Elephas maximus indicus: one gene and its partners. The protein of the gene in region 1 interacts with the protein of each later gene in a pairwise test. Links are inferred from orthologs where the notes say so. Each region holds a gene or a part of one and is shown in the gene's direction. Other genes may lie near its edges. The genes, in order: CDC42, MYO9A, CDC42SE1 and ARHGDIA.

Region 1 (7,043 bases):
GAGGTGCCTGAAAACAAAGTCCCGGTGATCTACTTTAGAAGACTCAGCTATTGAAAACCCTAAGGAGCACAGTTCTATGCCGATACACATGGGGTCACCATGAGTAGGAATCAACTCAATGGCAACTGGTATACTTTAGATATTACTGGAATGACTGGCTGTCTGGGGTTGTCAGGGAAGGCTTTAGAGCCAAGGTCTACCCTAGTCCTTGAAAGAGAGAAGTCTGGCAGACAGAGAATGGAACCACCGAATATACAGAGGCATAGAGGTGAAAGGACACAGCCCATTTAAGATAAGAGCAAGATCAGTGTTGGCGGAAGGTTCAGTTCATAGTGGGAAGGCAAGTGGGAGTTGAGAGATAGGATGTATGAGTGGGAGAGGTGTGCTAGGCTAGGGGAACAGTGTGAGCATGGTCACAGAGGTGAGAAATCACGGTACCTATATGCATAATCCTAAAGTAATTCAGTCTAGCTGCAGCTTTAAGTGTGTGATGGAAAGGAAAGGGGAATAAGGTTGGAAAGATAAGTTGGTGCCAGATCATGGGGGACCCAGAATGCCTGGCTAAAGGACTTTGAATTTTATTTTGAAGACCAAGGAGGAAGACACTGACGGTTTTTGAGCAGGGAGTGACTTAATCAGAGCTGAGATCAAGATTAAAACAGAAAATCATAAAGCAAGCCTCTAGAAATTGGATATTAATTTTGTGGGCATGGGGTTATACACCTTTTCTCTGATGCAGCAAAGGTTGGGAAATCCTGAATATAGAAGGGTACAGAGGCCAAGAGCAGATATAGGGACCACAGAACCTGGAGCAGGTGGGAGCTGAAGGATGATTTCACTGTTGCTAGTGGAACTCAGGGAGCCCTGGTGGTGCTGTGGTTAAAGAGCTTGGCTGCTAACCAAAAGGTCAGCAGTTTGAATCCACCAGTTGCTCCTTGGAAACCCTATGGGGCAGCTCTACCCTTTCCTATAGGGTAGCTGTGAGTTGGAATCAACTCAATGGCAATGGGTTTTGAGTTGGTAGGACTTCTAGGTAGCTGGAAATTTGGAAATAGGGGTGGGAATAGGGGTTGGAGGAGGTAGAGACTTGGGAGTCTTCTACATAGAGGGTGGTGGCAAGTACCACACATGGGCAGACATAGGGGCCAGAGGTGGCAAAGCGAGTCATCAGGGGTCTTGTAGTTGCAAGCGACAGAAACCTACTCACCCTGGCTTAACCAATAGAGAGAATTTATTGGCTCATGTGATTGAAAACTGGAGCAAGGCTGAGTCTAGGGACTCAAACAATGCCACTGGGACTTGGTTTCACTGTCTCCATCCATCAGCTCTGTTTTTCCCTTTTTGTCTTGGTCTTATGCTCAGACAGTCTCTCTCCTTGCAGTGGGATGGCTGCCAGCCGTGCCACGATTACATCCTGCCCTCAGCAGATATATTCATTCAACATGAAGGTTCTGATCAAAGTCCCAGAATTGAATCTTATTTGTTCTCATTAGGTCACAAGTCCATTGCTGAAGTGCTGTGGCAAGAGGACTCTCTATAAATTCTTTGATTTGCCAAACCTGGGTCACATGTCCATCCCTGCAACTGGAGGTAGAGCCACCTCCTCTGGAGTTACAGGAATCGAGAATTGGGTAAGAGACTTCTCAGGAGAAGTGAAGTGTTGTTACCAGAAGTAGGAGAAATTGACAGTGGGCTGGCAAACGGAGAGTGGGGGAGGGAGGGCTGGATATCCACGGGCTGCCTCTCCTGTTAATATGAAGCAGCTGTAGCCAGTGGGGCAGTGAGGAGGAGACACTAGCAGGCTGGGCCAGCAGCAAGGGATGGGGTAGACTGGGGTCAAGTTGTGATGCCACTGACATTTGGGGCTGTGAAAAGGTCTGGGAGGGCCTTCCTGATAAAAATCTGACAACATAATAGACAAAGTCCTTGTCCTCTGAATGAAGGCAAGAGAAGTTGAGCAGTTGGGTGACACCCCATCAAGATATTGCTGCTATGGAAAGGGCAGGCATTGTCTGGGGACATTCATGAGATTGTGAGACGGGATGAAGGAAATGTCATTGCAAACTGGCTTTGCAGAGGGAGAAAACACAACCACTTTTCAAGTTTCAGAAACTAAGCTTACGCATTTTTACAGTAGTCAAAAATTTACAAGTTTTCAAAAAAAATAAAATAGCCAAAAGCAGCCTAAGTCTTGAACAATAGGAGATTGGATAAATTCTATAATACCCATATAGTAGAACACCAAAAAAAAAAACCAAAAAACAAAAACCCAAACTCACTGCCGTTGAGTCGATTCCAAATCACAGGACCCTACAGGACAGAATAGAATTGCTCCATAGGGTTTCCAAGGAGCGGCTGGTAGATTTGAACTGTCGACCTCTTGGTTAGCAAAAATGTTGCTTTATTTGACATGGAAAGATGTTCATAATGTTTTGAGAGAGAAAAGCGGGTCACGATCTTATTTTGGTAAAAATAAATGTATATATAAACCAAACCAAACCAATAGCTCTTGAGTTGATTCCAACTCATTGCGACCGTATAGGACTGAGTAGAACTGCCCCATAGGGTTTCCAAGGATGTAATCTTTATAGGAGCAGGCTGCCACATCTTTCTCCAGCAGAGTGGCTGGTGGTTTCTAACCACTGACCTTTTGGTTAGCAGCTGAGTGCTTAACCATTGTTCCACCAGGGTTCCTTAAACATACATATACATAGAAAAAAGTCTGGAAAGGTACTCACCAAAATGTTAATAGCTGGTATCCATGAGGGTAGGATTAGACCTGAAGTTTATCTTCTGATTTCTGTATAATAAACCTACTGGGTTGTAAGATAGTGTAGTGGTCAAACTAGAGCCAGGCTCCTGGGTCCAAGAGCCTAGGTCCAAGCCCCTCCTCTGCCACTGCCTGGCTGGGTGACCTTTGGCAAGTTTCTTAACATCGCTGAGTTTCAGTTCACTCATCCATAAAATGGCGACAATAGTGCTTACTTCACAGGGTGATTCTTAGAAATTGTTTACTCCTACATGCAAAGTTGTTAGCACCACGCTTATAGTATACACTGAAAAATGTGGTTATTTTTTGTGGAATTAAAAAGTCCAAGAGAAAATATGATGATTAAATGAAATATATTGGAATTTTATCTTTGTTGGCGAAATAGCTGTGGCAGTAAGCAACATATTAACTATTACTAGGATAAACTATTTTTCTCTGAACATTGGGAAACATGTGAGAATAAGACAGAGAAGGTTCCTATTCTCCCGGAGCCTGAAAGCTAGCGGCGGCAACATAATAAACAGGTGCTCTGAGGGTTTTTTTTTTTTTTTTGAGGGTAGGAGAAACCCTGGTGGCGTAGTGGTTAAGTGCTACTGCTGCTAATCAAAGGATCAGCAGTTCGATTCCACCAGGCTGCTCTTTGGAAACTCTATGGGGCAGTTCTACTCTGTCCTATAGGGTCGCTATGAGTTGGAATCGACTCGACAGCGCTGGGTTTGGTTTTGGTTTTGGTGAGGGTAGGATGATAGGGAAGACCGGGACGTTAGAGGGCTGAGAAAGTCAACCAACAAGTGCAAAGCCCTACGGTGGGGAGGAAGTCTCTGAAACAAAAGAAGACCTTTGTGGCTGAAGCGAGGGACAGTGGGGTGCACGCAGCTCTCACACCACAGCGGACTGAATACAGACCTGGGGAGCCAGGAGGCCACCCACTTGCTGTGTGATCTCGGGTAAATCACTGCCAGTCTCTGAGAAGCCTCTGTCCTCTCTGCAAAATAGGAACGATAATACTTTGCTTCCCAGGGTAGCAAGGATCAAAAGAAATGTCATTGGTGTGTTCTGCAAACTATTCTTTCTAGTTTTTGAACAGCAAGCACTGGGGAAAGAGGTGCCGAGTTGAATACTAAACACGTGAGCCATTCCGGTCTTGCGCGTGCGCGTTGGTCCAGCGCAGCGGAGGCGGAGGAGGAATTTAGGCTCCGCCTCGAGCCGTCCCAGCCTCTTCCTCCCCTCTCCATCCCTCCCACTTCCGCGGGCACCCAGCCGTGCGTCTCCTGCGTGGTGACGTCAGGTGCGTGCCCCTGTCCGGCAGTCGAGGAGACCCCGCGCAGTGCTGCCAACGCCCCGGCGGAGAAGCTGAGGTGAGTGCGGGGCCTCAGGCTCCCCGAGGGAGCGACTCCCCCATCGTCTTGTCCCTACCGCGTCGCCCCCAGTCTTTCCCCATTCTCGGGGACCCGTGGTCTCCGGGATTCTGGGACGGCTGGGAGCGCGGAACGCGGGAGGGTGCCCGGCTCGCGCTGCGCCCTCCGGGCGAGCGCGGGTCCGCGTTCTGTAGGGGCACTAAGGGGCGGGAGTCGCGGCGGGGAAGGCAGGGTGCGCGCCCGCTGCGAGGCGCGGGGCCGGTGCTCCGGGTGTCGGCCCGAGGGCACGGGCGGGGCCGGGCTGTCACCGGGCAGCGGCGGAAGGAAGGGGTCACACCCATCCCGGCCGCCCGGGTCCCCCTCCCCCTCCGGCCGGGCCCCGTGGGCACCCAAGGGCGGGCGGCCGGGCTGGGGCGCCTGGGGCCCCGCTTCACGGAGCCGCGCGCGGGCGCTGGAGGCGGAGGACGTGTCGGTGGCCGGGGCTCGAAGGCTGGGTGCTGCCCACTGCGCTCGGCTTCGACTTCCTGCTTCGCCGGGCGCCGCCGCGGACATTTTGCGGCGGGCGGGGGGAGGGGAGCGGCCTCGCGACCGCGGCGGGGAAGTGGCGGGCGGGGAGGGGGCAGTTTGCGGAGTGGCCCGGCCGGGCCTGCGACGCCCTTCCCGCCGCGGCCGCCCAGCTCGCCGGCTTCTCGGGGCAGGGTGGGTCCGGTCGCCCTCTGGCCGGGGTCCTTTTTCCTGCCCTAGGTAGAGTTGCCCACAGCGTTGCCGTTTGCTCCTCCAGCACCTAACGCTCTCCTGGCTCATTCAGCTGCGGCTTCCCCTTCAGGGAGTTACCTAACCCCTCCCGAAACTGTCGCTCGGCCGTCGGCTTAATTCCTCTTACTAAGGGGAAATTTTCTTTGTTCGTTTGTTTTTTTCCTCCCCTTTAAATCCTAGAGAAATGCAGTGTGGAAGATTACGTCATCGCAGTCTAAGGGGTGAGAGTTTTAACTCCTCCAAGTCAGGGACTCAGCAGAGTAAGACAGCGTTTTTGCAGTTTCAGTGGGTCACCCAGAGACTTCCCTTGCTCCGCTCCCCAGCGCGTCATATTCGGAGGTGGTTTTTTTTTTTTTTTTGATATCCTGTTACTCTTGTTCTTGGCCACCTCAGTTGCATCTAAAGGAAGGTTTAAATGTCAAAATTAGGTTGTGACAGAAAATAAAGCGTAAGACAACACTTTCTGTAGCCATTTGCATAGAATATAACTTTAAAATTCCCCTCTGACTGTACTTGAACGAAGCCACCTTATTTGTGGGTGCATTTTTTTGGCCCCCAAATGACTTTCCGGGAGTGATTGACTTGTCCCATATACTTGTTTGATGCACGGTACCTACCTAGATTGCCTCAGTTGCTCTCTTTGTGGCAAGGGTGTGGTAGTGAGAGGATCAGTTTTGCTTCCTAGGCACTTTAGTTTTTTAATTCAAAACAGTTTTGAGCTTTTACCAAAAAAAGTAAATGAGTGATATTTTTAGGCTTTTGGGATCACTGTTTTTGTTCCCAAGAATGTGAGGTACAGTCTAAATTTTCCATCCTTGTACAGAGTACGGTAGCACAGAAAAATGTTAGCATTGTAAAGCAGATGAATTTCAGTTGTGTGAATGCATTGTTACAAAGGGTAGTTCATGTTGGTACAAGTACTTTTCTATTGTTTCTCATTTGTGTAGAGAGAACAGATTGTTTGTTAAGAAACACAAACTTTAAGAAGTGGTAGATTTAAATGCGCTTTCTCCAGTGTGGGTGTTGAAGATAGGTATGGCACATGAATCTTCTGAAATAGTTTTCTTTGCGTTAAAGTGGTATCTTGCTTTAGAAGTATAAAAATGAAACACTGGTCTGCTGCCTTATTTCTCGAGTCCTCTATTTTTAAGAAGTCTCTGTGTATCAGTTCACATCTTTCTTCTTAAAAATATAGCAGAATAGTTTAAATGAACAATTTTCAGACTGAGACAACAAAATAATTGAGGATTGAAAATAAGCTCTTCCAGTAATGTCTTTAAACATCCTCTGTCTACTCTTAAAATGGTTTCATGTAGTAGCCAACACTTGTGCTCAGTGAAACTTTTTTCTTTGGAATTTAAAGGTAAATACACAGCTTTGAGTAGTCGGGGCTTAAACATCAGTGAGATTCTTAAAGAATACCAAGACCAAATCTTGAAGTCTTTTTGTAACTTCAAGGTTTGTTCCTCTTTTTTAGGATGCTTTTCCATTTGCACTTTTGTGGACTATTTGGAAGAGCATTTCTTGTTAAACGGTTATGCTAATAAAATGTTTTGATTCAAGAGCTGTCAAATTTGGAAAACTACAATTGCTGTGCCTGTCTGATGAGTAATATTGATAGTCATTCTTGAAAGTAAAAGTCAAGTTGTACTTATGGATAGATTTCTAAATGCATTTGTTTATTGTTTTAGTGTCTTTTTTGAGAGCAATGAAGAGCCCCTAATGAGAACTGTAGGCTACAGGGCTTTTCGGGGAGCAGGGAGTAATAGTGTGTTAACTTATTTCCCATATATGAATCTGTATATCCTCCTATTTGTAAAGGGCTCCATTCTAGGCTTTTATTATAATTCCTTATTCAGTTTTCTTTTCTAAATGTGTTTGTTGTCAGTCTCTCCCACTAGCATGTAAGCTCTATGAGGGCAGAGCTTTGGCCTGGTATGGTCACTCCTATATCCTAGCATCTAGAATAGTGCCAGGCACAAAGTAAGTCTCAAGAAATATTTGTCAGGTGGATGAATTTGATGCTGTCTAAGGGTTGACATTTTTCCTCTATGCGTATTCCATAAGCCCTTGTACTTTGTTTCCCAAGGCATCTTTTTGTGCTTGATCAGCTGTATCCATATTTGGGCTCATTGAAGTGAAATTACTAACTTACACTT
Region 2 (7,172 bases), on another chromosome or scaffold:
TTCTACTCCAAGAATTTCAACATCTCTCCATTGTCTATCGAATTAAGTACATACAAATTACAGTCTGGCATTTAAGGATTTCCACAAAAATAGATTCAGTCTACTTTTCCTGATTTATTTCCTAGTACTGTTCTGGTGGCCCAATGGTTAAAGTGCCTGGCTGCCAAACAAAAACCCAAAGGTCAGCGGTTCAAATCCACCAGCTGCTCTGCGGGAAAATAACGTGGCAGTCTGCTGCCATTAAGATTTACAGGCTCGGAAACCCTATGAGCCAGTTCTATTCTGTCCTATCGGGTTGCTGTGAGTCGGAATCAACTCCATTGTCAATGGTTTGACTGCTCCCATGTACTTACACACCTACAAGGTCATTCCCACTGCCGGCCCAGATTGTTAGGCAGCTATAGATTAGTACTGTTTGTTACTGAAGTACAGGAGGAACAGGAGAAGAAAGAGCCAGTCCATATTCTCCCACTCTACCTCAACAGAGAGGATGGAAAGTGAACACTTCTCTAGTACCTTTCTCAAACACAGATCTGATCTGTCATGCTGTTGCTTAAAACTTTTACACCAAGGGTTCTTTTAAACCTGGGATTTATGGGTAAGGTTGTGGCTAGAAATTAAGGGTTTCATGAACTTGGACTGGGAAAAAAGTTACATTTATTTTCAATAATCTCTGGCTGAAATTTAGCATTTTCTTCAATTATAAGTATAGGCAATAAACCATATCAGCCATATCTACATCTTTATTAGTGTTAGAAATCTGGTATTTTCACATCACATTAAAGTTGAGATACAAATATCTCAAAGATACTATTTAAGCTCATTATCACTTTGTAATTACATAATTTTTTTTTTTACATAATTAGACCTGCTGCTAAGTATTAGGGAAATCCTGGTGGCATAGTGGCTAATAGCTAAATGGCTGCTAACCGAAAGGTTGGCAGTTTGAATCCACCAGGCGCTTTTTGGAAACCCTATGGGGTTTTTTTTTTTTTTTTTTTTTTTTATGGGGTAGTTCTACTCTGTCCTATAAAAAAAAAAAAGGGTTCCTATAAGTCAGAGTGGACCCGAGAGCAGTGGGTTTGGTTTTTGGTATTACATACTCCATAAAGTAGCACATATATAACTTACACATTTGCTTTAATATTTTGAAAATAAAAATGGTTTCAATAAAATTGGTTTCCTTTATATTTCTATATATTTTATTTCCTGCATTTAAAAACATTATTCTGAGATAGGGTCCACAGGCCACAATGCCAAAGCTGTCCATGGCATAAAGAGGTTAAGAACCTCTATTATTTATATCTATTAATTGGTTACAATATAAAACCTAAACTTTTTGGCATGGAATTCTAGGCTTCTCTTAATCTGTTCACACCCCACTTTATAAGCTTCATCTCTGCCCCACCCTTACTCTCCATACTATGCTCTGACCATACCACACAACAGTAATCTTATCTGGAAGTAGACAGACAGGTTTTGGGATTAACCCTAGTTAAGACCTGGTTCAATTCCCTGTCAATGCACCTCGTGTGCAGCCACCACCGGTCTATCAGTGGTCCTCTGCACACTGCTATGGTGCTGATGAGGTTTCCGAAGAGATTCCAGATTAAGATGGACTAGGAAGAAAAGACAGGCCTGGCGATCTACTTCCGAAAACCAGCCATTAAATACTCTAGGCACTACATGGCCCAAAATGCAATCAATCATGGGGATGCTGCAGGTTTGGGTAGCGTTCCTCTCAGTTGTGCATGAGGTCACCATGAGTCGGGGACCTACTTGATGGTAGCTGACAATAGACAGTAGACAGTAGCATGCACTGTTCTGGGCTTTGCCTTAACTGTTCTTTTCTGCCTGCCAAGTGAGCTCTTCTTCGTTTAAAGGCCTGTTTTCCCCAATCCTTTGTGACCTGGGTAGCGCAAATGGTTAATAAGACACTTGGCTGTGAGTCCGCCAAGAGATATCCTGAAGAAAAACCTGGCAATCTACTTTCAAAAAATCAGCCATTGAAACCTCTATGGAGCAAGTCCTACTCTGACACACCTGGGGATTCCCGTGATTCAGAGTGTATTTGACATCACCTTTTTTTTTTCTTTCAATCTACTAGGGCTGTATATTATACATCTTTATATCTCAGTCCTCACTTATAGTTGGTACTTCTTAAAAGATTAATGAATGACTAATAGAACACAGATTCTAAACTGTCAAGGTACTGTGTGTAGTAAGTAATCTTTAGAGGTATGTAAGTTGGTCTTGGTCTTTGAATAGCATAAACTGGCTTAGCTCTAGTCTTTGTGAGAATATATAAAGCTGAGCTCTAAGGGTGGATTCCCTGCTGATAAATACTAGATGGAAGGGAAAGGAAAAGGAAGAGGGCAGTAACTGAAGGAGCTCTAAGTAAGAGGGATGGAACTCTGAAAGGGAAGGCAGGAGCAGCTGTTTCTCCCATTTCCCAGAGCAGTTATTCAAAGCTTTTATTGCTCTGCTCAAGTTTCTCATCCCATCCCTAACTTTCTCTTTCATTAAATAACCCCCATCTTAAATTTCACAGCATCAACTCCCCCAACTTTCTGCTCTTCCCTACTTCTCTTCTTTCTAGTCTAGTGGTTCTCAACCCTGAGCATTAGAGTCACCTGGGGAGCATTAAACAAACAAAAACTGATGCCTGGACCCTACCTCAGAATTTAATTGGTCTAGGATGGGGCAACAGTATTAGGTTGAATAGAAAAAAAGCTTCCCAGGTGATTATAAAGTACATACAAGGTTGAAACCCTACTGATAAAGATTTCACTAGTGCTCTGCATCAAAAGGAAACCCTGGTGGTGCAGTGGTTAAGTGCTACGGCTGCTAACCAAAGGGTCGGCAATTCAAATCCACCAGGCGCTTCTTGGAAACTCTACGGGGCAGTTCTACGCTGTCTTACAGGGTCGCTATGAGTCGGAAGCGACTCCACGGCACTGGGTTTTTGGTCTGCATCAAAATGTTGATTTTATAAATTAGCCTCTCTCTCCTTTAAATTGGAGCCCTGGTGACACAGTAGTTAAGAGCCACCAGCCACTCCTTGGAAACTCTATGGGCCAGCTCTACTCTATCCTACAGGGTTGCTATGATTTGGAACTGAATCTATGGCAACGAGTTCTCTCTTGAATTGGCCCACTTCTCCACCCATGATACATTTTTATGCCCAAGAGTCTCCTATCTTAAAAAAAATTTCTTGTAGCCCATATTCTCTCATCCCTTACAAAGATGCTTCCTTAAAGAGAAGTTTACACCAGTATGGTGTCCACCAGCTATATAACATTCTTAACTTTTTACTCTTCCAGGAGAATACTGTCATAGGCCTTTGCACTCGTTATTGTCTCTGCTTCTGCCTCCTCTTTCATGTCCTTGTTCGGCTAGTGCTCACTAGTCTTTTAATGGTCTTCTGAAGAGTGAAACAGGAGACCTTGGGTAGTGCAAACGGTTGTTCGATCGGCTGCTGACCCAAAGGCTGGAGGTTAGCAGCTGGCGTCCACCCAGAGACGCGTGGAAAGAAAGGCCTGGCGATCTGCTTCCGAAGAATTAACCATTGAACACATTTTGGAGCACAGTTCTACTCTGACACACATACAGTCACCATGAGTTGGAACTGATTCCATTGGGCAAGTGTTTTTTTTTTTTTTTTCTTCTGTGTTCAGAGAGCATCCTGTGCTTTTTTTCTATTATAATTTTTGTTCTGCAGATTCTTTCTTCGTGTCCCATACTACACGGCACTTCAAAAACCTGCGACCATTTTACTCTCCTCTGATTTTCTGCAGCCTTAAAATAAAATTTATTTTTATTTTAAGGAACAGACAGCACTCAGTCAAAGTCTGAGGACTGAACGGCAATGAAGACCTGAAACCGGAGGTCGGGGCGGGGCCATGCGGGGAGAAGGGGCGGGTGTGTAGTGGAAAGGGGCGGACGCTATGAGGGGCGGTGCTGAAAACCCAGCGCCAGAATGGGGAGGGGGCACGGATACGCCAGAGTCTGTGTGGGGGGCAAAGCGGTCCTCTGCTGGGACAAACTCACAAACAAACCGAAGGAAGGAGGCGGCTCCTTACCTGCCTCGGGCCTCACCACCCCAACCAGCCTTCAGCTCCTCTGTATTGGCCGGAAAGCGAGAGCTACAGTCGCAAACCCAGAGTTTTCCTCCTCAACCTTGCGACATTGCCCTCTAGCAGAGGGGAAGAAGCTAAGGCAGAGTCTCTAGTTGTGCCGTAAGGTGAGGAAGAAGAGTTCGGGCGGGGCTGCCTGGGGCGGAAGAAATGGGGCGGGTCCACGCACGCGCATCTAGTACACTCCGGCGGCGTCACGTTCGGGGGCGGGGCAGGGCGGGGCGGGGCGCTCAGTAGGGGGCGTGGGAGGTAAGTGCGCGCGCGCCTGCTCGCCTGCAGCCGAGGAGTCGCGCGGGGCGGGGCCGTGTGCGCGGGGTCGGGGCCGCGCGGGCCGTAGCAGACGAGGTAGGCGGTGGCGGTTGGCTGAGGCTGCTAAGTCCGACCAGGACGGTGAGAGGCGGCGGAGGCGGTCTCCGCGGCACCCGCAGAGCGGCCGACAGCAGTCGAGGCGGCGGTCCAACGCGTGCTCTCTGGGCGGGGTGCGGCGGGGGATGTGCCTGCCCAGCCCGGGCGGAGTCTGTCTGACAGGGCGGGGGATGCGCGGCGGCCGCTCGCCGGGACGCTGAAGCAGCCGGGCCCAGCCTCCCGAAACCGTCCGACCCTGTGTGGCCTCCACCTCAGCTGCCTCCTCCGGCCTGACTCTGGGGCCGAGGCTGGGACGCGGCTTCCGCCGACGAGGAGGGGACTGTGGTGGCCGCAGCGGCGGAGCCCGAGGTAAGACCCGCCCCAGCCGCCCAGAGGCCCCGGCCCAGCCCACGTCTCTGTCTCGCTCCTTGGCTTCTGCACGGCCGCCCCGCCCCGCCCCGCCGCAGCGGAGACGCCCCGCGAGCGAGTCTACCCCGAGCCTCCCCGATACTCGACCTCGGCCCCGGTCGACCCCACCCATCGTATCTTCCATTGGTCGGACGCTGTCCCGGCCCTCCAGTCCCCGCGGCGCTTGTGCAGACCCCACTAGCACCCCCTCAGACTCTCTTAGAATCCGTAATGGAGCCGCCAGACTCCGTTACATCCCATAAGCTGACCCGATCCTAGTTCCCCTGAGACCCAGCCACGGCCGCCCCTCAACCCACTGCGACCCCCTCCTCCAAGGCAGAGCTGTCGCTACTGCCGCCCCCCGACCCCCCTCACAGCTGCTCACTGCCAAGTCCGCTGGCTCTTCCCTGACCCATCACGGCTTTAGGACACTGCATTTCGTGATGGTCTTTTCTCCCAGTTGATCTGGAGTCAGGCCCACTTTAGACGCTGTCACAGGCATCGGCCTCTTCCCTACCCCCTCCCACAGATTCCGGCAAATCTGTTCTCTTTCTCCCCAGTTGTGATCCTTTCTTTAGTTGGAAGGGCTTTGCCAGGGAGTCCGGAGGGGAGTTTGCTTAGCCTGGTGTATTCCCCGCCAGTAGGGCTTATACCCACTGAGACCTACGTTTGGAGGGTTTGAGCTGGCAACTGAAGGAGGGAGGGAGAGGGAAGCACAGGGCACGGGGTGTGTGTGTACAATTACAAGGTCACAGAGGCTGCTCCTCATCTGTCTTCTGTAGAACGTGTGATAGCCCAGATCTGTGAGATAGCACGGATCTGACATTTTAGGGGCCTCTATAAGAATTAAATCACGTTACACTAATTGACATAACTGTGCCTCTGTATATGTTATTTACTTGGAGATTTTTACGGCTCTTTCACACCGTTTTGGAGGGGACTAGGGGACTTTTTTTTGATGTTTTTGAATTTACTGGGAAAATAAAGACCTACAACTTTCCCTTAATCGCTAAAGATTTGAATGTCAATTTTATAATAAATTCCTGCTATTTGGTGCTTGGAGCAAGTCCAAAAATCATGCCGTGTACATTGATGTCATTATCAGCGGCCTTCTCCCCAGTAGTAAAACATTGAATAAAATATTGTTTGTTGAAGTTGAACTCCTGAGCTGTCAAGAAGGAAATGTAATGTTGCATCAAGTGATCCGTGCATAATTTTAAGGTTGGCATATTTAAGCAGTTCCCTTGAAGGGATGAAAATGAAGTAGAGAGTGGTCTTTGTAGTGACTAGTTTTTATTTTGTGTGTGTGTGACGGGGCTGGGGAGGGAGAAAATCGTATTAAAATTATTTATAGATGATAACTAGACATGGTATAAAAGTCAAAACGTTCAAAAGAATACGTAGTAAAAAGTTTCTCTTTTCGTTTTGTTCTCTAGTCGTACAGTTTCCCTTTTAGAGTCAACCACCATTTCCAGCTTCTTGTGTAGCCTTCCTTGGTATTTCCAGCAGATATGAGCCTTTTTGAGCCTATACTTTATATTCTTAAAAAACGCACATGCCATACACAAACAGTTGCATACTATACACTCTGTTCTTTGGTTCCTTAATAATTGGTCTTACAAAAAAAACAAACTGTTGCTGTCAAGTTGATTCTGACTCATAGCAACCCCGTAGGTCAGAGTAGAACTGCCTCATACGGTTTCCGAGGGTATAATCTTTACAGAAGCAGACTGCCACATCTGTCTCTCTTGGAGCGGCTGGTGGATTTGAACTACAGACCTTTTGGTTAACAGCTGATTGCTTAACCACCGTGCCACCAGGGTTCCTTTAATTGGTCCTAGAGATCACTTTTTAACAGTGCATGTGGAAGTGTCTCATTTAATGGCTGGATAGTATTTCATTTTGGTGGACTTGAGGTTATTTTCAGACTTTTGCTTCTACAAATAATACTTTGTGCTTTTCTTTTAAATGTGTCAGCAGTTATGGTAGGTATATGTTTAAATAGTTTTTGGGATTTGAAAAAAATTTCCTAATGATTCTTTTTGTGTTGCATCTCCAAAAATCAAAACAACTGAATTTTTTATTGAGCCTCTGAGCTTCCATGGTGTGACTAGCTTTGATGATGGTTATAATGTTTATCAGATAACTTGGTGAAGGGCATAAAGCAGGGGACTGAAATGACCAGATTTTGATTTTTAAAAAGGTTACTTAGGCATCAGTAAGGATGGTGGATTGAAGGGTAGAATAAAGCTAAAGGCAAGACTACCAGCAGGGCAGGCAAAT
Region 3 (7,411 bases), about 120 Mb from region 1:
GTTATTTACTGCTTACTGCATCAAGTCGATCTTGGGTCTGGTTTTTAAGGCCTTCCAAAATCTGGCCCCACTCTTCCTAGCAGTACACATCCTCGGCTACAGTTACATTCGTCTCTGTCTTACTTAACTCTCTCCACTCTCCATCTTAAAATACTACTCTAGTTTCAAGATTCTGTATAAGTCCCTTGAGGAATCTTTCCTATATTTACAAAAATTGGATTTCTTCCTGCCTAGGTCATGGTACCTCTGAAAAGGTTTTCCATGACATTTCTGTTTTCCTTCTTGCCTTCTAAACTCTACTATAAAGTGATTTCTTTGTGGATGACATCCTTAAACTTTCCCAGCTCCATCTATCCTATTTCCTCCAGCGTCCCCCCAGCAGTGCTGTAGAAGTTTACCTGACTATATCTGTTTGGGGTTAGAAGTCACTATTATGTGTCTTGTGTAGGTGATGGTCTTATCTTCTTCAAAAGACTTGGAATTTCTCCAAGGGTAAATACAAGTCTACTTTCTCTGTACCTTCGCAAGTACTGAGCTCTGCACAGTTAAAGCTGCTAACTAATCTTCCCTCGCTATTTAATACAATGAATATCTTGTATCTATATAGCCCACAGTTCTGCCTTAACAGATTTTTTCTCTCTAGCTCCTTCTGAGCAAAACCCAGGTTCTAAAAGAATTTTCCTATGCTATAATGGGATTCCTTTTCTCTGATCCCAATGCTAGAATACATCTGATAGTACTGAGTGCAAATGGATTAGAAATTCCAGGTAATAAAAGCAAAGTTTAGATCAAAAGGGGAAGATTTTTAACAGAATCAGCTACTTTTTCATGCTTTAATGATTAATTCTATCACCTTTTCTGCTCACCTCACCCACACCCTGATATTATATGGCTATTCTATCTCCCTGCAGCCTCCACCCTGCTGCTTACTAGCCAAGGGAAGGAGCGTTAGTTAAAATGTTCCCAAAGGAGCAGAAAGAACATTGCCCTGTCTCCAAAAATAAAATCTCAAGTTTCAAAAGGCCTCCTTTCAACACACCCCATCAGCTTTCACAAGGAATGAGACTCCTAGCTAGCTGTCTTCAACAGGCTCTGAGATGCCCCCATATAATATGAAATGACATTACTAAAGCAGAAAAAGGACATCTTAATCTAGAACAGGGTTTTGTGGAAGAGTGTAGGGGCTTTAGGAGTGATGAGTGGGTAGACTGAGATGTTTTTAATATTAAAAGCAATTTCTAAATTCCTCTTTTTCTTCTTAGGCAGGTTCAAGTTCCAAAATAAACCCTGGGGAACTGAACATTACTCAGCAGAGAAGCTGCTTAGAAGGAGGGTGATGCAGGGAGGACTGGAGCAGGGTGGGGATCATGCTGGAAAAGTGATGTCATCATCCTACAATATTCAGCTCTGATCATCTCCAGTCATTTGCAGAGACACGTGCACTGAAAGATACAGAAAATGGTTGTAGGTACTAATAAACCAACCTCTGCTTGAGTTTAGGACCGTAGCGATCCTAAGAAGCCAACCCTAGGAGTCAATAGTGTTATTGACTTCTGCCCACAGGGAATTTTTTCTTATAATACTACCAGTATTTTCTTAGCTAGCTGACTTCTTTTATATTCCCTCTCTTACAAGTACCCTCCAGAGTGAGCTTAGCATAATGCTGGGCACATAATAGGCTTAAAAAAAAAAAAAACAAGAACCATAGGAGGAAATAAAAAAACCTATCAAATTTTAAAAGTAGAAGGCACCTTAGAAATTAGCTAGTGGCTTTCAGCCAGTTTGGATAGATTCATGTCTCATCATTCCCAATTTGGTAACTTTTCAGTGTATTTGTACATAGATACTGCCCAAACAGTCCCTGTCTGTGCCTGGAAGAACTTATCTTGCAATTAAAAAAGCTAAAGGGAATTTTTACAAAATGCTAAAGTCCTAAAATCTCTAGTTATACCACTCATATAGAGGCACATACAGAGAGTACCGAATGCATTCTAGAAAGACAAGTGGATGTGGCATTTAAAATCAAGTCAGGAACATAAGACTACACCATAAAAAAAAAAAGAAAAAAACCAATGCCTTTGAGTCAATTCCAACTCATAGCAGCCCTATAGAATAGGGTAGAACTGCCCCATATGGTTTCCAAGGAGCGGTTGGTGGATTTGAATGGCCGAGCCTTTTGGTTAGCAGCGGTAGCTTTTAACCACTATACCACCAGGGTTTCCGACTACACCTTAAAAAAGTTAAAATTCCCTTTACATTAGTAATGAAATTCAGATTTAATGTGATGTGTTTTAATTTCCAAGTCCCCCACATTTTGCAAAAGGTCCCTTTTCAGCTAGCTTTCCCTCTCTGTCCAGATATTCTCTACCCATACCTCATGGTGGTATGGGCACTACTTTACATGATTTACTTATCTGAAAGGGCGTGGACAGTACCATGGACAATAATATGTTCTCATTATCCTTCATTTTAAATTACCCAGATATCTTAGGCAAAGGTAATTAATAAACTCTCCCTTTTTTTTTTTTTTTTAATATTCTTAGATACATGATGAGAGAATATACAGATTAAAAAGACACACCTGCTCTAAGCCACATAGACATAGTTGAATACCCCTTGCCCTCACCCTCTGTGGGCCTCACTGACATCCAGGGCCTACCCAACAGGGCCTTGCTGTGTCATGCTGCCATGGTGCTGGGGATGGCGGAGGGGCGAGGGGTGCTAGACGGGAATGGACGCTCTCTGGTGTGTCATCGTATGTACCTCACCCTGAGCTTGGATCTTCCTGTTAGCCATGTCATTCCCCCACCTATTTCATTGAGCTGCAAATAAACATTACTTTTCCAGAATCTGTCCCCATACGTAGCTCCCATGGCTATACTGATTTCAATATGGGATCAAGCAGTTTTCCGACACAGGGCGTCCCCCCCTTTCCTACCAGAAGCTGCCTCTTTCTTTGGAGCAAAGGTTTTAGATGGGGAGTAGACCGCTGAAAGGGAGGTCAGGATTACTCTAAATATTATACCATATCCCTCCCTCCCAAAATTCCCTCCTACAGAGACAAATAAGTTTAGGGGTGAGGGTAGTAACATCAATGAAACATTAAGATAAGGAAAAAATTGGAAATACAGAGAAGAGGCTAGAGTGATATGGTAGGGATAAAGATGCATCAAAAACCTGGTAAATCAAATTATAATAGCTTAAAAACAAAAGTATAATTAGTTAGACTGGAGATTAAAATACTGAGAACAATGAGTTACAGAAAAATAAATACTTGAAATAAGAAGGTAAATGCTGAGAGACAATAACTACATGTAAATGGTTAGAAATATTTATATAAAGGACAGCAAGCAAGGTGATCTTAGTAAAGAGATGTAAAACAGTGATCAAATAACTACCCATTGTTCAGAGCGCCCCCTTCTCTCCTCTTGAACTGTCCCCCAAGCTCATCCTCACCTGGGGTTCTCAACCTAACCACAGGAAGCTGCTCTTATATCTTTGCAACCCTCCCCCCCTTCCCCTTCCCTCAGTTTAGTTTACCTGCTATCAATGAATTACTAGTGAAGTGCCTCTGGGGCTCCGGGTTCTGCTCTGGGCTGGAGAGAAGGCTGCAGAGGCTTTGATGGCTTTGTCTTCTCACTCTCTCGCTCTCAATGACTGAGTCTGTCTGCTCAACCTCCCCCTGCAATGCAGCCCCTCCTAAGAAGGGCGGAAGGACTCCCCGCCCCCACCTCCTCCCTGCCTGACTCGGCTATTCCAAATGACAGGTTCCAGAACACTTGAGGGGAGGGAGAGGATTAAGGCATCTCCGTAGGTTTACTGGTCTGGTCTGTACAATTAAATTATTCTCCATCTCTTCCAGCACCCTCATGCTGACTGGCGTGCAGTGAATGAGCAATTGTCTTTTGCTTTAATCTTATGTTTATGGATTAAAAGATTTTAACTCTGTAGACAATGGAAAGGGCAGTGTCCTTTACTTCCCCAATTTAAGGATTTCAGATTATGATGTGTTTTTGAGAATCAGAAAAACTCATTCACCGGTCCCCCTAATCCCTGCTGCTTGCCCTCACAAATAGGTGAATAAACCTAGCCCTTTTCCATTTTGGGTAGAGCACAAGAAGACGGGGGTTGTGTGAATCTCCGTACTTGGTTGGGTCTAGGGGATACGGGGCTCCGCTTGGTTTAGCCCCGCAGTGCCCAGCGCGCAAAGGCAGCGTGAGATTCCCAGGCGCCCGGTTTAGGTGCCAGGCCCTTATGGAGGTGTTCACATCGAGGTGTCAGGCGGGGCGTCCTTCGGCGGTCTCGGCGGGCCCCCTACCCGCCGCTCTTCGGTACAGCGCCCAGTCGGTCCAGGGAGGAGCTGTGCGCCCGGCGCCGAGCCGCACGGGTTTCGTAATCACGTAGCTGCCGTTTCCGCCCTCCGCCAGCCCCACCTCTACCGGCCCGCCCTCGGCTCCCCACCGCACCGGGGAGTGAGCCCGGGAACCCCGCACCGGGCGGCGCGGAGCGGAGTCCCGCCAGCTGCAGCCGGGCGCCTCGATGCCAGAGAAGAGCAGGTGAGCCCGTCGAGTTTGTGCCCCCGGCCCGCCCGCCCCGGCCGTCCGCCCGGCCACCCGCCCGGCGGAGACGCACCGGATGCGGCGGGGGGAGGGACGATGGCAGGGGCCGTGGAGATGCCGGGTCGGTGGGAACAGGGTGCCTCGCTTGGTAGCAGTCCCCATCCGCGCCCGTGGGAGAGAAAGAAAGGACTGGAGTGTTGGGGGCGACGTGCGAAAGGGACTTCTCTGAGCTTCACTAACCTCTGTGGCGGCGCGTGCCGGACACAGTGAAGCGGAGCTGGGTCCTGGAAGGTCCAAGTCAGACTAAGGCACCCACGGAAAAGAGAAAGATCCACAGAGAGGTCCCAATCCAAGTTCGAGGTGGGGAGGAGCAGAGAATTTCTGGGTAGCGATGGCGGGAGGTGGGGGGAAGACAGAAATAGAGTTTATGTGACTGAATATAATGGGGTGGAGGAGCTTAGAGCCTGGGTCCGTTTCCTCTTTAGCCTCCAAAAGTCCTTTCCTGGGGAAGGGCAGGGTTGATGCTGGGGCAAATGCCTGTCACTTTGCTGAAACGTGGGGTTCAGCCTCCCGTCTCCAGGGTTGCTCAGCACCCCTCCCTGTCCCAAGGGTCTCCACAGGGACCAGCTGCAACCCTGGGCTTATGGCCAGAATTGCCCACTCCATTTTCTCAATTCTCTTCTCTTTCTCTCCAGTTGGTTCTTGTGAAGGCTTGTCAGGCAGCGGGTTGGAGACCTTGGGGCAGGAGGCAGCGGAACCGGGAAAACCGGTTTGGGGCTAGAACCGGACCAGGGAACTACCTCTGTACATCCCTCCTTCCTGGAACCCTCCTCACATCCCATCTCCTTCTCACCCCCTCAACAGCTTTGAGGCCTGGGGGCCAGGGTCACCTTGGATGCCTGAGTTTTCCAAAAGAACACCTGGCTACCTCATTTTCATTTTCTCACACAGAAAGAAGAAAAACTCTGTCTTGGGCTGGGAGCCAGTGCCTGAGTCCCCTTAAGTCCTAGTGTGACCTTGGTGGTGGGGTGTATTTCCCAGCTCTGTATTTCACTCTTCCTATTTGGGGCACAGAGAAGCCAAGTTCTCAGCACTACTTGGCTGTCAGGATGTGGCCTTATGTAGCCTTATCCTGATCCCTCCTGTTGTTTTCCCAGCCCTTTCCATTTGAATGTGTGGTTGAAATAGTGGGCAATGGATTTGAGTGCTTCGTCCTCCTGAGTCCACCAGCTCAGACTTTGTTTCTTCAACCCACCCTTCTCTGGCTGCTTTAAAGGAGAGTGGCAGCCAGTAGCTCTTACTTCCTTTTCTAGCCTTGTTTGCCTTCTGTCCCACTCCTCACCTCCCGCAGTCACCCTGCCTTGTCCTCTCCACACTCCTACCCCACTCCCAAGTTTCAGAGACCCTGATGTCCTGGGGAATGGAATTTCCTGGTCACGTCTCATCATCATTGGTCATTTCATGCCAAGTCCCACACACACACTTTTCCTCCACCCAGCTCTGGCTAGATCCCTGGAAAAGGAACAGAAAGTCCTTGTTTTCCTCCACTGCCCCTTTCCTTCTATCTCCTCCTCCCCCTTTTTTCTCCTCTCCCCTCCCAGCACCATCCACGTCTGTCCACTCAGCTTTGAGCAAGGGGGGGGGGGCGAGAGATGTTGGGGAAAGTCCAGTCTAGTATAGCCTGTCTGGAGCGGGCGGGGGGGGGGTTTCCTCTGATTCTTCATTGTTTTCTCCATTGCCCCTGCCCCAACCCTTACCACCCACCACCACCATCATGACAAACCCTGTGGCTGACTGACTGACTTCCCCACTGACCACAGCTCCCCTCTCTGGACGGCTGTATTCTCACTTCCGCCCCGTCTGGTTACTCCTCCCCTAAAGTAGTAAAAAGGAAAGTAAGGGAAAGCCCAGACTCCTAGGTCATTCCCTCCCTTAGAAGTTGTGTCTCTGTATTTTTGTAATCTCAAGACTGCTAAAACATCTCTCATTTCTTAGGTCAGTCGAGGGTGCTAGGACATCAGAAAGGGAGATTCCTATTCATGCTAACGGTGTAATATTCATGAAACCACCCTGTTTAGAATCTTTGAGGTTGTCTGTACTGGGAAAGTCCAGTGAATATAGAGGAAACCCAGATGGCTGGCAGTAGTGAGAAGGGGAGGAACTTCTTTCTTGGACACTGGTGCTATTGGAAAGTTCCTTGTGTCTGGTTGGCTAATGAACCTTGGGATGGAAGTGCTGAGGAGGGAGGAGCAAACAGGTCACAGCATGAGGGGAGAAAGGAAGGAGGCTGGGGCCCTATCAACTGTGAGGCAGAGCAGGACAGGATAGGACATGTGAAGAGGGTGGGGAGACTGGAAAAAGATTTCCTCATGGAACAGAGGCTACCTGGCACATATACCTACAGTCTATACCCAGATTTTGTATGTAAGACACACACGGAGACATAGCCGTGCCACATATTTGTGAACAGAGGTATACATGCAGGAGCACAGCGATACACAGATGAACAGTGTGTACACAGCCTTCGCCAAGAATCTCAAAGTCAAGTAATAAAGGAACTGCTAACTGACTTCTGGGAGGGGTTGCATCTCAGTAGAGGGAAATGAGGAGGAACTAGGGCAGTGAACTGAAGGAAGAAATTGCTTACCGTAGAAAGCTTTGAGGTCCAACGTGCTGCAGTTAGTCTCCTAGGATGTTGGTGGTCAAGGCCTTTCTTGTTCTTAAAGAAAATCTAGGTGTTTAGGGCAAGACAAGGTAAAAGGAAGGGGCAGGGTGGAGGCTTTGTTTGTGAAAAAATGAAAAACCACCATTTCCTCTTCAGAGTCACTTAAATGCCCCTCCCCTTCTACCCT
Region 4 (6,950 bases), on another chromosome or scaffold:
GTCAAAAAAATGAAATTAAGTAAATAATGCCACTCACAACAGTATCAAAATGAATAAAATACTGAGGAACAAATTTAACAAAAGTGCCAGACCTGTATATGCTGAAAACTACAAAATACTGCTGAATTAAAGAAGACCCAAACAAATGCACAGAATTGTTCGTTGACTGGAAGACTCAATATTGTTAAGATAGCAGTTCTTACCAAATTGTCCTGTAGAGTCAGTGCAATCCCTATCAAATTCCCACTGGGATTTTATTTTGAGAAATTAATAGCTGATTTTAAGAAATTTATATGGAAAATCACTGGACCTAGGATAGGTAAAACAATTTTGGAAAGAATGAAGTTAGAAACTTACACTACCTAATTTCAAAACTTATGATAGAGCTATAGTCATCGTGATGTTTTGATATTGAATAAGGATGTGGACTAAATGGAGCAGAACTGAGAGTTCAGAAATAAACCCTTATGTCTACAGTGAATAAATTTTCAACACCAGTGGCAAGACAGTTCAGTGGAGGAAATTATAGTCTTTTCAACAAATGGTGATGGGACAAAGATGAAACACTGACTTCACACCATATACAAATACAAAAATTAACCAAAAAAATGGATTGTAGACCTAAATGCCACAGCTGAAACTATAAAAGAAGAAAATACAGGGAAAAATCTTCACGACCTTAGGTTAGGCAAAAGAGTTCTTAGCAATGACACCAAAAGAAAGAAACATGAAGGAAGAAGTTGACGATTTGGACTTCATGAAAATAAAAATTTTCCCTTCAAAAGACACCATTAAGACAATGAAAGACAATTATTGCTTATGGAGTCCCCAGCTTAGGTTGGGGTTCTGGTCCGATAATGCCATTGTAAGAGTCTGTTCTGACATAAGTTGAATACTTTTTTTTTTTTTTTAGTTTTCATAGCCTGCTGTACAGCAGTTTTGTGAACAGCAAATTACAACATTGAACATCTGTGAGTGAACATCTGAGCATGATAACGTCAGCAAAGTACACATTGCAACATTGTATGTAATACCTATTGCTAAGGATAAGATGTATTTAAAAAAAAAAAATGGTAACTCAATGATGTTGGGGACTACCTGTACTGAGTTTCAGTTTATGGTGATAGAAAAATCTCATGAAGGGTAGGGTTGCACAGTAGATTTATGTAGTTGCTGTCAATAAGTTGTACACCTGTAAAAAGCTGAATTGGTAAAAGTGTAGTAGATACATTTACAATGACCAAAAAAAAAAAAAAGCTGCCGAGGCTGCTTATGTACTGTCGAACACCTCATGGAATTGGGTTCCTTAATTTGGAGGTTTAGAGTCATGGTTTCATGGAACATCCCAGTTAACTGTCCTAATAATGTGTTTAGTGCTTCTGTTCAACCTCCTAGTTCGATGCCTGGGGTCTTAAAGGCTTGCAAACATCCAAGGCTCAACAATTGGTCTCTATTCCCCTGGAGCAACAGGAAGAAGAGTCAGAAATGAAAGGAGGAAATGGAATGTGCGGCTTATTGCCTCCATGAACAACTGCCTCCTTTGCTATGAGACCAGAACTGGATGGTATCCTGCTGCCATTACTGAACATTTTAATCAATGATTCTATAGAAGAATTCTGGTCTAAAGCGGGGAAATGCAGAAGAATTTCAAATTTTCATGGAATCCAAATCTTTCTGGAGCCATGGAGGCTAGATGAACCCTGAAATGATTGCCCTGAGATTATCTAAACCTTAAAACAAAAATATCCCCTAAAGTCATCTTAAAACCAAACAATAGCTAGTAAAGAACATTTGCCTTGAGCATTGTGCTTTTTTAAGATTAATCTATGGGATCAAATTGATGACAGCAACTTGAAAGATTAGATAAGAAGCTCAGGGGGCAATGAGTTTATGTTAATGGAGGAGGAACAGCTCAGAAAAAAGTGAGAATGGTTGCACAACTAGAATGTAATCAATGTCACTGAATTTGTACATGTAGAAACTGTTGAATTGGTATATGTTCTGCTGTGTATATTCTCAACAAAAAATAATTTTAAAAAAGCTACAGAAAATATCTGCAATCATAAAGTCAATGGACTTGTATCCAGAATGTAAAGAAGCTGTTACGGATTGAATTATGTCCCCCCAAAATATGTGTCATGATTCCCAGTACTGCGCAGTTGCCCTCCATTTTGTGATCTGATGTAGTTATCCTATGTATTGTAAATCCTAACGTCTATGATGTTGATTTATGAGTTGGAATCGACTCAACGGCACTGGGTTGGGTATGATGTTAATGAGGCAGGACACAGTCTACAGGATTACGTTGTATCTTGAGTTCATCTCTTTTGAGATATAAAGGAGAGAAGCAAGCAGAGAAGAGAGGGGCTTCAGTACCATCAAGCAAGAAGCGTCAGGAGCAGAGTGCGTCCTTTGACTTGGGGCCCCTGTGCTGAGAAGCTCCTAAACCAGGGAAAGATTGATGACAAGGACCTTCCCCCAGAACCGACAGAGAAAGCCTTCCCCTGGAAGTGGTGCTCTGGATTTGGACTTCTAGTCTACTTGCAGCATTATATAACTAAGACAGGAGCCCTGGTGGTGCAACCATTAAGCACTCAGCAGCTAACTGCAAGGTTGGGAGCTCCAACCCACTCACAGACTGGGAGAAAAGACCTGGTGATCTGCTCCATAAAGATTGTACATAGCCAAGAAAATTCTTTGGGGCAGTTCTACTCTGTCACATGAGGTCGATATGAGTAGAAATCAACTCAAGGGCACCTAACAACAACCACATTTAGAATATATGCCCTTCCAGCCTTGGACACCAATAAGTGAAAGAGACCCAGCACCCAGCGTTGGGATGTGGTGAGGGAGTCAGGGCCTGTGGTGTAGGTGAGGCGGAGCATCAGTGCCAGGAACTTCCTTCACTTGACAATCATGGAATTGCTCGGTAATGGGATGCCTCTGAAGTGATCCCCCAGCGAAGAAGACAGTGTGCTGGGCTTGAAGAACCCTGTGATTCGAAGTCGGCCCTGAAGGGGCTGAAAGGAGAGACTGGCAGAGGAGAAGCCTCGGGCCTCTGCAAGGTGTGGACAGTCAGCAAAGGTTCAGGCCCTTGGCTAGGTGTGGGTGGTTTCCAGAAGATGCTGGTATCCACGGCCTTGCTCATCAGCACGAGCAGTATACAGGGCAGGGCAGTGGGGACACTGTGGCCCACACGCAGGGACCTGACCAGACGCCTGGGAACCGTCTCCCCAGCGTTCCCTCAGAACCTAACCCAATGCTGAGTGCTCACTTAAGCTCGTAGGAAGCCTCAGGACACGGGACATTGCCAGGTGGCACCAAGAGGAGCAATGCGATGCGGACGGTCCGAGTTGGAGGACAAAAGGCCAGTTAGGGCGACCCTCTGGGAGAAACATTTGGGGTGGATGGCGGGCTTTTGGGTTCAGTGTGATGCTGCAACCGTGTGTACGTGAAGGGACACGCTTATTTTAAAGATGCGTGTTAATTGCCTGGAAGGGCGATAACATGACCTGTGATTTTAAATGCTTCCAGGTTAAAAGCAAGCTGTATCAAAACGTTCAGTTAATAGATCAATATAATCGACAAAGCTGCTCAGTCTGGGCGGTGGACATGAGCTCGGTCACACCGTCTCTGCACATCTCGTTACAAAAAGTGAAGGAGGGCGCGGCGGCCGAGAGGCCGTACCCCGAGGTGCTTAAGCAACCAAGAGAGTCACAGCACCCAGATATCAGAAGCAAAGAAGAAAACACAAAGCCGCATCCGGTCTCCGGCCCAGCCCCTCCGCCCGCCCACGCGGGACCGCCCCGCAAAGCCCCAGCCCAAGATGGCGGCGACGCGCTCCTGGCCGCCACCCGCACGCCCGCGCCTTGCGCATGCGCTCTCCGACCCGGCCCTGCCCGCGCATGCGCCCCGGGTGTGGCCCAGCCCGCCTGGGAGCGGAAGTCGCGTGACCCCGGAAGTGACAAACGGGCTGGCAGGCGGGTGGGTCGCCGCGACGTTCGTCACTTCGTGCGGGAGGGAGCGAAAGGCCGCGCGGTCGAACCCTCCGGTGAGTGCCCGCGGGCGGCGGGGTGGCGGGGCGGTGGACGGGACGAGATGGGGCCGCGCGGGCGGGTGAGGGGCGCGCGCCGCCGGCTTTGTTTCCGCAGCCCCGCCCTGCCCCGCCCTGCGGCCCGGCCTGGGGATCCCGGCGGGATCCGGGCGCGAGGACGGCGCTGCGCGCGGCGGTGACAATCGGGCCTGGCCCGCGCGGTGGCCGGGGAGCGGAGGGCGCGGACCCCGGGCTGGCGGCGGCCGCACGTGCCGTCCGGGGCGGAGGCGGCGCGGAGCCAGGGAGGAAGCGCCTGAGGCGGGGAGGGGCCTCGCTGTGGCCATCCGGCTGGCTGCCCGGCCCCGCCGATGCGCACCCACCTGCCTGCACCCGAGCCTGATGCGCCCCGCATCCGGCACGTGAGGCGGCTGGCAGAGCCCGGGGCCTGTGGACCCTCGGGGCGCGCCAGCGGTGGGGCGCGCGGGTCTTCGTGCACCGCGGCAGCCCCGCCCCGCCGCGCCCCGCCGGGCCTCGCCCGCCCAGATTGCAGGGCCGCACGGAAGTGCTGGCGGCGGGGCGCGCGCTCTCGAGGCAGAGCTGCCCTGAGGCCACCCTGCTGCGCCCCGGGCCCGCGCCTTTCAAGAAATCCTAGAGGAATCCTGGGGGGCAGCGAGCGGGAGGCGAGGGAGGGCCTGCGGCGGCTCCGAGGCCCAACCCTGGGGCCACTACGTGCATCCCAGTTTTGAAGTAGGCCTGTTTCTGGGGTTGGTTACTTTTCCCGGAAAAGCCTGAGAGCTTGAAACGATTGAGCGGGTTTTCAGCAAACGTTGGGGAATCCCGGTTGGAGAATTCCAGTGGGAGCAGAATGTGGGTCCCTAGCGGGAAAGCCCCGTGTGACTTTTCTGGGGACTCTTGGTCACAAACTCACACAGTTGGAGGGAACCTTGGCAGAAACTTGGGGCTGGCCTCGTGTCCCGCGGAGGCCCCTGTGGAGCTGAGCTCCAGAAGAGCTTGATGTTAGCAGGTTGAGTCGGAGCCTGTGTTCTGCTTAAAGGTTTCATTATGGGGGGTAGGGTCTGGGTCAGAGGAGTGGCCCTTACAGGGAGGCTGAGCTCACTGACCGGTGGGGGTCATGGCAGCGGGCTTGGGCAGCAATATCCCGAGTCTTTAGAGGTGATCCACTCAGGCCCTGCCGGGTGGCTCTGGGAGTAGCTAGGTCATGAGGTGCCCCAGCCTCACCCCCTTCCCTTGGGTCCCTGAGGGAGCAGGGCAGTGGTGCCCATTCAGTCCTGGGTGCCTTGTCTGCGTGGTGCCTTGCACTGCCCACGCCCCCTCCCCCCCCAGCATGACTCCCCTGAGGTGGGCAGGCCTGGGATACATGTGGGTTCTTTCTGAGTTGCAGAAAGCTGTTCCTTGGGCACTCTCTGTTCCTCAGGCACACGTTGGCTGCAGCAGGAGCCCCCTTCCTGTTTTCCTCCTTTAGGAGTGGCCTGCAGGGGGCTGGAGGGCTGGCTTCTTTAGTGGCAGGGTCCCAGGGGGCACAGGCTTTCCTCCAGGCTGCCACAGCTCCTGCCGACCCCCAGGCATCCCAGAGGTGAGTGAGCATGGCTGAGCAGGAGCCCACCGCTGAGCAGCTGGCACAGATTGCAGCTGAGAATGAGGAGGACGAGCACTCGGTTAACTACAAGCCACCGGCCCAGAAGAGCATCCAGGAGATCCAGGAGCTGGACAAGGACGATGAGAGTCTGCGCAAGTACAAGGAGGCCCTGCTGGGCCGCGTGGCCGTGTCTGCCGGTGAGGACCCCACTGTTCCCCCAGGCAGCCTTTCCTCTGAGTTTTATCTGCTGCCCCCCTGTCCTGCTCTGGTGGGTTACCAAGTACAAGGAGGTCCTGCTGGGCCACGCAGCCATTTCTGCTGGTGAGGCCACTGCTTCCCCTGCGTCCCGCCCCCCTCGTGGGTTACCAAGGACTGGGGCGCTGATTTTCTGTCCATCCCCAGACCCCAACGTCCCCAATGTCATCGTGACACGGCTGACCCTGGTGTGCAGCACCGCCCCAGGCCCCCTGGAACTGGACCTGACAGGTGCGTGGCAGCCAGGATTCCTGGGTGGGGCCGGTGGCACCCTGTTGCTTTCCCTGAGCATTGGTGCCCTGTGGTGGGGAACATCAGCTGCAACCAGGTGGCCTTTGAAGGGTTTTGGCCCCGGAACAGCCTGAAGAGTTGGGGTGCCTGCACCGGGGCATGTGTGTCCATGTGCTGGCATGGAGGGACTAGGCTGATGCAGGTCTGAGGTGTATAGGATGAACCACAGACTTCTCTGAGAGTCTCTGTCCGCAGGAGACCTGGAGAGCTTCAAGAAGCAGTCGTTCGTACTTAAGGAAGGCGTGGAATACCGGATAAAAATCTCTTTCCGGGTAAGGAGGGTGGGGGCTGCCGGTACGGGGCTGCAGGGAGGGCCGGGCTGGCTGAGGGGCTGACCGGCTGCTGTCCCCAGGTGAACAGAGAAATTGTGTCTGGCATGAAGTACATCCAGCACACCTACAGGAAAGGCATTAAGAGTGAGTGCACCTGTGTTTCTTCTGTGCCTTGCCCTCCCCCAGACAGCCACCCCGGCACAGGTGGGGTGGGAGGGGGTGGAAGGAGGTGGGGCAGCACTGATGGGGGGGTCCCTGTGGCTGCAGTTGACAAGACCGACTACATGGTGGGCAGCTACGGGCCACGGGCAGAGGAGTATGAGTTTCTGACCCCCATGGAGGAGGCACCCAAGGGCATGCTGGCACGGGGCAGCTACACTGTCAAGTCCCACTTCACGGATGACGACAAGACAGACCACCTGTCTTGGGAGTGGAACCTCACCATCAAAAAGGACTGGAAGGACTGAGCCCTGGCTGGGAGGAAGACAGGGAGGGACAGACG

What was found.
Region 2: the proteins of CDC42 (region 1) and MYO9A interact in a two-hybrid assay, tested with the Homo sapiens proteins (3 studies listed by BioGRID and IntAct). The link is inferred for Elephas maximus indicus from reciprocal best matches to the Homo sapiens genes CDC42 and MYO9A.
Region 3: the proteins of CDC42 (region 1) and CDC42SE1 interact in binary tests that used the Homo sapiens proteins (3 or more experiments, as listed by UniProt). The link is inferred for Elephas maximus indicus from reciprocal best matches to the Homo sapiens genes CDC42 and CDC42SE1.
Region 4: the proteins of CDC42 (region 1) and ARHGDIA interact in binary tests that used the Homo sapiens proteins (3 or more experiments, as listed by UniProt). The link is inferred for Elephas maximus indicus from reciprocal best matches to the Homo sapiens genes CDC42 and ARHGDIA.

Annotation. Positions count from the first base shown.
Region 1 is NC_064821.1:62,284,707-62,291,749, forward strand, and holds the start of CDC42 (cell division control protein 42 homolog), read left to right. Parts: upstream 1-4,021; 5' UTR 4,022-4,128; intron 4,129-4,771; exon of another isoform or gene 4,772-5,105; intron 5,106-5,122; exon of another isoform or gene 5,123-5,223; intron 5,224-7,043. UniProt on the Homo sapiens protein: Plasma membrane-associated small GTPase which cycles between an active GTP-bound and an inactive GDP-bound state. In active state binds to a variety of effector proteins to regulate cellular responses. Involved in epithelial cell polarization processes.
Region 2 is NC_064831.1:62,409,682-62,416,853, reverse strand, and holds the start of MYO9A (unconventional myosin-IXa), read left to right. Parts: upstream 1-4,159; 5' UTR 4,160-4,243; intron 4,244-4,761; exon of another isoform or gene 4,762-4,850; intron 4,851-7,172. UniProt on the Homo sapiens protein: Myosins are actin-based motor molecules with ATPase activity. Unconventional myosins serve in intracellular movements. Regulates Rho by stimulating it's GTPase activity in neurons.
Region 3 is NC_064821.1:185,114,741-185,122,151, reverse strand, and holds the start of CDC42SE1 (CDC42 small effector protein 1), read left to right. Parts: upstream 1-4,408; 5' UTR 4,409-4,556; intron 4,557-4,799; exon of another isoform or gene 4,800-4,940; intron 4,941-7,206; exon of another isoform or gene 7,207-7,302; intron 7,303-7,411. UniProt on the Homo sapiens protein: Probably involved in the organization of the actin cytoskeleton by acting downstream of CDC42, inducing actin filament assembly. Alters CDC42-induced cell shape changes.
Region 4 is NC_064837.1:71,666,380-71,673,329, reverse strand, and holds the start of ARHGDIA (rho GDP-dissociation inhibitor 1), read left to right. Parts: upstream 1-3,943; 5' UTR 3,944-4,051; intron 4,052-5,616; 5' UTR 5,617-5,637; coding exon 5,638-5,827; intron 5,828-6,032; coding exon 6,033-6,116; intron 6,117-6,371; coding exon 6,372-6,448; intron 6,449-6,528; coding exon 6,529-6,592; intron 6,593-6,715; coding exon 6,716-6,915; 3' UTR 6,916-6,950. UniProt on the Homo sapiens protein: Controls Rho proteins homeostasis. Regulates the GDP/GTP exchange reaction of the Rho proteins by inhibiting the dissociation of GDP from them, and the subsequent binding of GTP to them.